Linked DNA regions of Mus musculus: region 1 is reported to be linked to region 2. The links are microRNA targets in miRTarBase. Many come from high-throughput screens and were not tested one by one. Region 2 holds a microRNA gene; the other region holds the end of a gene's coding sequence.
Evidence for each region. The annotated mature microRNA mmu-miR-1193-5p reads UGGUAGACCGGUGACGUACA and lies in region 2 at 1,409-1,428, shown strand. An mRNA with a match to its seed (bases 2 to 7 or 8) in the 3' UTR can be bound and repressed. Matches are read on the target gene's strand: a 7mer-m8 pairs with bases 2 to 8, a 7mer-A1 pairs with bases 2 to 7 and ends in A, and an 8mer does both.

Region 1 (3,408 bases), not on the chromosome of region 2:
TTTTCATGGCAGATCCAACTCCTGATCTGGCTCCACGGTGTCCTATCAGATTCCGGTGGTGGTGGCAGAGAACGCTGTTGTGAGTCCTGAGCGGGCATGGACCATAGTGAAAACAGAAGTAGCAGGACATGGCTCCAATTCCAGATCATGAGTGACAGCATGCTTATCTTTCCCTTTAAAAAATAAACACGAAGCAATGTCCAGGGAAAGGTCTTAGGAGTGTCCAAGGTCCGCTCACACACAGCAAGGCCCTCTAAGGGGCAGTGGGGACAGACAACTCAGGTGTGCTAAACAGGGATCCAGATTTCACCCTCGGCTTTTATTAGGTCTAATCTTGGGCACCTGTGAGTTGGGGCAGGACATGGGGCCAACCTGGGGTCGGGGGCTCTGTTCTTCAAGTCTCTGTGCTCAGTGTGCTGGGAATGGCGTCTCTGACAGTCAGAATCACAGATACATTAGTTTCAGCAAAGGTCAAGAGTAAGCTACGGTGACAGGGACTGGGGGTGGAGGGAGAAGGCACTGTGCCACGGGAGCACATCTGTTTCATAATAAGCAGGTCTAGAATTCTCCAGTGAAAGATCATGTTCTGTTCTCTGAGGCTGGAAAATATAAATACTGTATTTCATGAACAAGAGGAGGAAGAGAGAGACTCAAATCTGTTTGTCTGTTTTGCCAAGTGTTTGAGACTTCCCACCTTTGTCCTTTATGCGCAACATTCCCTACCACTCATTCCAGTGAGGTCAACCTGCCTTCCCAAGAGTTTATAAAAGGCACCGTGAGGTGTCTGGTAAATAGGGCCCTGGCCTTTTACCAAGTTTCATGCCTTGGCTATAGCTTCCGGGTAGCTAGGAAATGAACACACGTGTGGCGTTCAACTGCATGGTCTGGGGCCAAAGGAAATGGTGTGGGCCAAGAGGTGAAATGCTTGCCTCTAACTGCACAAGTCAGCTGAATGTCTCCCACTAGACTGAAGCATCGAGAGCTGGTGCCTGTGGGAGCAACTTGGAGTTGAACCCCTGCGTTCTCTGTGAGCCAGTGTTTCCCCTGATCTGAACAGCAGTGAAAATCCCAAAGGACAGAAGCATGGGCGGCAGTGGGCAACACCAGCTCCAGGTGAAAGACACAAACAAGTACTTCCTGGTGAGTCCATTCTCCTGCCTTGGAAAGAGTTAAGGAAGAAGGAATGCTGGCCGCCAGGGTCTCAGTGCCTTCCTAGCAGCCATCTTGGTCACAGTGACAACTATGCAGGCTCTTACAAGGAAGGGGATCACAGTGGGAGTACACTACCCTCCAAAGAGCGAAGTGATCCACTTCCCATTCCTACCACGCTAGTTACTCTTTGTGTTACTGTAAGGTGGCAATTATATATGTATATATCTACTTATTTCGATAATATTAATTCATTAATTCTATTTATGTTTGGTATTTTCTTAATAGTTTAGGTTTGTATTTTTCAAAATGTTACTTCTTAATAACTTTTAATAATTACATAATTTTTACTTTTAAATATTTTTTAAAAATAATTAAAAACAAGTAAAGCCAGGTATGATGGTGCATACCTATAGTCCCAGCATTTGGAGGATGAGGCAGCAGGGTCACAGGTTAGAGGCCAGCCAGGGATATATAGCAGGACCCTGTCTTAAAATATGTCCCCATCCCAAACAAACAAAACATCCAGGATACAAAAGCAAGAGTAGTTACGCGGACTGAATAAAGGTCAAAAGTGCTGTGAAGGACAAGGAGAAATAAAACATTCAAACGACAGGTGGGTCCTGCCGATGGAGGGCTCTGGGGAAGGAAACATCCGGTCCTCCAAGATGCGTGCAGTAAACTCTACCTAGCAGACTATGCACTGATGCGCTTGAGTGCAATCCTGGGACACTTCCTCCTGGGCAGCACCGTGAAAAACATGACCAGTGTCCTCCATTCCACGCTTGGAACTGTTCTTAGGGCACCCATGTGCACTCTCTGGCAGGCATTGTAGACTCTGATCATCAGGAAGGTGCTGGGCTTCGTACCAGCCAACAGACAACGACATGAAGTGACTGGCCACTGAGGTCCTCGCTTTCTGTACTCTCTCTCAGGGACTGAGTTCACACCCAACGCAGCTCAGTTCCTGATGCTCTCTGTTGAAGGAAGGGGCCTCTCGCTTTCTGCTATGTGGCTCTGCTTCACTCTTCCCATCTCTGCCAAAGACTCTGGGCCTGGAAGTATCCAGAAACATTCTTGTGTTTTAGGGATGTCCTTGTGAAGCAGATGACAATGGCTCTACCTCAGTTTCCCCAGCAAAGGCTAAATGTCAGTAGCAATGCAAAGCTTTGCTGTGAGAGGTGTTTCCTCCAATACTTGTGCAGTCAACTGGCCCTGAGAGCCAGTGTGTATGAAGGGGTCTGAACTACAGAGCAATGTGTGTCAATCACATTTGCTGGGAGCAAGCAGCAAATGTCATGGCCAAGGGTAACTCAGCTATCTGTAGGAGTTCATCCACAAGATCTTTGTGAACTTCTTGGACAATGAGTTATACAAAGCATCATACGTACAGGACGTATAGGTGTATATAATATAAATAAATAACTTATCTATCTACATCTAGCTGAAGAAGGAACAGCCTCATCTGCATGGGCACGGGCAGCCCCTTGGGCGGTGGAGAGTGCATCCTGGCCTACAGTCAGGTGCTTTGGTAGGACAGCTCGAACATGGCGCATGCCTCCTCCAGGCTCTCGTCCACGTTCAGCTGCCGCCAGAAGGACTTCTGCTTCTTCTGCAGTTCCCGTCGGACACACCGTGGGCAGGGGACAGACTTTTCTTTGCACTCAGAATGGAAGACAGCTCCACAGCTTTCACATCTGCAAAAGCCAAGCACAGAAGTGATTACAAGACTACAGAGCACAACAGGCTGTGCGGGACATCCCTGTCCTTGGGAGGAGTTATAACGAGAGACAGGGGCTGCATCTGTTTTCAAAAGGCTCCATGTTAGATTTCACCAGTGACACAATCTCCCTGTGATTGGAACTGGCCTCATGAGACACTGGCTTGGGGGAGGGGAGTCAACACTGACCCAGTGACTCTGTTAACAGTGACAACAGGCACATGAGGCTTTGTGTGCCAGTTTCCTCTCCACCACAGAGAATGGAGTAAAAACTCTAGGGTGAGCAGCCAAGAATGTAACCTAGTGCCTTGGCAGCCGGAACCCTTAGCAGGCCTTGGCAGCCCTGCGCTGTATGCCAGGGAGTGCTCTACTTCAGCCCTCCTAACTTACTGCTTTTATGTCTTAGTTCAGGAAGGTCTGATGGACATCTTCATTCTCTGCATGATGTCCTGGGGCTTGTTATGCTGTGCACTTTTTAAAATGAGGAAAATCCTCCCACCTTTAAAGGCCTACCTACGGTATGACCTAAGTGTGAACAA
Region 2 (3,408 bases):
CAAACCTGAAATTGGCACACACATTTGCCCAGTGAGCTTTAAGATATGAAATCTGGAGCGGGGCAGTGGTGGCGCACGCCTTTAATCCCAGCACTTGGGAGGCAGAGGCAGGTGGATTTCTGAGTTCGAGGCCAGCTTGGTCTACAGAATGAGTTCCAGGACAGCCAGGGCTATACAGAGAAACCCTGTCTCGAAAAAAACCAAACCAACCAACCAACCAAACAAACAAACAAATAAACAAAAGATGTGAAATCTGTTCTTAGTCCTTAACTCCACCCAGGGTTGTGGTCAGCAGTAGAGCTTTCTGTGGGGTTCCAGGTAGAACACAATTCTCATCTGCAAATCATGAGCCCTTTTCATAGGCATTTCATATCAGATATCTACATTATGATTTATAACAGTAGCAAAATCACAGTTATGAAGTAACATTGAAAATAATTTTACAGTTGGGGATTACCCAACATGAGGAAGTATATTAAAGGGTCACAGCACTAGGAAGGTTGAGAACCACTCGACCAGGGGGTGGAACTGCCTGCCCCTGCCTGCTGCTTCTTTATACTACCACATGTGCTGGCACACATTTACCTTCCTACTAACTTTATAATGTGTCTGCTTTTAGAATCTTACCTTCCCTGGAAACTACCCAGACTCACAACCAGAGGGCTGGGTCGCTTCTCATCACCCACCTACCTCTTGGAACCAGAATCCGAGGCTCATTCCTGAACACCCCCAATGTACTGTACTTGTTGAAGTTGAGAGCTACTATTCCCCTGTTATCTCCTGAGGCACAATTTCTGGGGTCCCTGGTTCCCTTCAGTGACCCCCCCTAAACCTGGAGAGATAAGGAATGCAGGTGGTCTGTGTTGTTGGTAAATAGTCTCAGGCAATTCTGTGGACTGTCAAATTGCACAGGGGTTTTGGTTGCTCTCCAGGGCCCACAGAAGCAGACACTTCTGACAAGGCACCTGGCACTTTCCAGCTGCCTTTGTTTGCTTTCTGACCAGTGCTAATTGATACTTGAAGGAGAGGTTGTCCGTGTTGTCTTCTCTTTATTTATGATGAAACATACACGGGAAACCTCTTTTTTAGTATCAAATCCCACCCTGGGGGCACTCCCTGTCCCTGATGACGCCTTCAGGGAAGGGACCTGGACTGCTGTTCCCTGGACTCTGGGACATGGGACATGGGAGTATGGCATCAGGACTCAGCCCTGGAAGGAAAGTCATTTGAAGAAGGGACAGGGTCCCCGTGGTGGCCTGAGGCTACTCCCTATGGCTTTGGACTGTGAGGTGACTCTTGGTGTGTGATGGCTTTTCAGCAAGGTCCTCCTCACAGTAGCTATAAGGACGTGCCAGCATCGTGACTGAAGGGACAATGATGCCCACTGTTCTCGGGGTAGCTGTGTGGATGGTAGACCGGTGACGTACACTTCATTTATGCTGTAGGTCACCCGTTTTACTATCCACCAACACCCAGACCATCTGTGGGAAGACACCTTGGTGCACACGGCAGCTATGAAGAAGATGTTGGTGGGGTTGAGGCCAGCGTGAAACTAAAATATTTCAAGCAGAGTTAGCTTTTAAGGGGGATCCTTTTTCTGCTTGTGTGTGTACATATATGTGTTCAAGAGAGAGAGTGTGTGTGTGTGTGTGTGTGTGTGTGTTGGGGGGGGGCTACCATGGGCGTGACTTTCATTTTATGATCCTGTATCTTTGCAGTAAACAACGCCATCCTGGAGGATCCCCTGAATGTGAAGCTATATCCCAAGCTGGGGCACATTTCTCCTGGTGGGTGAGTGACAGGTCTCTCTAGCCCAGCATCAAGCCCACATCTGTCACTTATGGCATAGGCTTCGTTGTTCTTGCTCATCTCCATGTCTGTTCAATTTTGCTTGTCTTCTGAGGATTCAAATCATTGGCTGCTTCCCAGCACAAGTACCTGACTAGGAGATGTATTTCAGATATGACATCTCCTTAGGGAAGGACACCAGAGTCCTCATCAATGGAAAAGGTATGTCATGGTGTTCTGTCTGAAAGAATATATTATATTTTCATGTGTGTCCTTCTTTACTAATGCTGAGTATGCCTTCCATACCTAGGACGACCTCCTGATGTATTGCTACCCTGGGGGTGAAGGTGGCTTCCTTGCCCCTCCTCCAGGCTCCTGGCAAGTGGTTCTTGCAGCCATGGCAGAGACATAGAAAGTAAGTAGGAACTCTCCGACTGAGATTAGGAACTACTGTGATTCTGCTCATGTTTCATTGGTCAAGCCAATGAAGGGTGGGGAGGTGCCCTGTAGCCATGTCATGAGGGAGAGAACATGTGTACAAGCATAGGCAACCAACTATCTACCTGGAACACCTAAGAAGTCTATCTTTATTCATGTTCTTTTTTTTTTTTAATCTCAATGTTCCATTTCCCAGCAAGTGGAGGGTCAACAGAATCTGTTCTCAGAACACCACATGCCACTTACATATATTTTTGTCCAGGAGACATTGTCTCGTTCTGACAAAGGCTCAGATATCTTTTTGTTTCCCATTTCATGATAACCTCCTTGCATCAGGGCCTCCACCGTGGAACATAGGTTGATGTCCTCCCCTCTAGCAGATGGGTGGTGACCTCGACTGAGAGGTCACGGGACCCACCTCCTCTCTTGTCACGGATCCAGAGCTGGACTTTGGGAAGCAAAGTCAGGATTATTATATCATTCTCTGATGTTTGAGGAGACTCCAAAGACCTCCCCAAAGGATGACCAATCCAAAGCCTGTCTACAAGATCCTGATTCTGCCTGCGTGGAGCGGGCACAGCTGTGAGAGCCCCCTAGGTACAGCGGGGCTGCAGCGTGATCGCCTGCTCACGCACAGGAAGTGACGACAGCGGTACTCAAGCCACAGGAAGTGACGACAGCGGTACACAAGTGGTACACAGGGTTCCATGCTGCTGACGTACGGTGCTTAATGAGAAGTTGCCCGCGTGTTTTTCGCTTTATATGTGACGAAACATTCGCGGTGCACTTCTTTTTCAGCATCCTATTCTACGTTGAAGACTTCGGGGGTTCAACTACTTACTGACTTCAGGGAAGCCATGTTAGTCTAGGAAAGTAGTCTATGTAGTGAGCCTGGGTTGTGTGAGTTTATCTCCCTTCTTGAATGGTCCTCTGACCTTTCTTAATGAGAATGGGTTTGGGTTGGTTGGCTCCTGCTCCCTCCTCCCTCCTCCACAACACAGTGTCAAAGGAACCAGTTGACCAGACATTATTGATTCCTAGATGAGACCTTAGCCCACAGGGAGATGTTTGCTGAGACTTCTGGGAGGGGAATGAGTCTTCATTTCTGTGAGAGATGTCTGAGTGGATCTCACTGTTCCCTGAGTTTGAAGGCCAGCTAGAATTCAAGAGGACAGTACCCAG

Region 1: the mRNA of Plekhm3 is a reported target of mmu-miR-1193-5p. The part of its 3' UTR that is shown has no 7-base or 8-base seed match.

What each region holds. Positions count from the first base shown.
Region 1 is chr1:64,792,369-64,795,776 of GRCm38, forward strand. Plekhm3 (pleckstrin homology domain containing, family M, member 3) reads right to left here. Exons shown (of 8, transcript NM_001039493.1): 8 at 1-2,846. The coding sequence ends at 2,669. Among named protein-coding and RNA genes, the nearest start is that of Fzd5, 56 kb to the left of the region's middle.
Region 2 is chr12:109,714,308-109,717,715 of GRCm38, forward strand. It overlaps Mir1193 (microRNA 1193), which reads left to right and starts at 1,364; the gene lies at 1,364-1,484. Mir494 (microRNA 494) reads left to right here and starts at 1,011; the gene lies at 1,011-1,095. Mir679 (microRNA 679) reads left to right here and starts at 1,270; the gene lies at 1,270-1,343. Mir666 (microRNA 666) reads left to right here and starts at 2,778; the gene lies at 2,778-2,876. It also overlaps Mir543.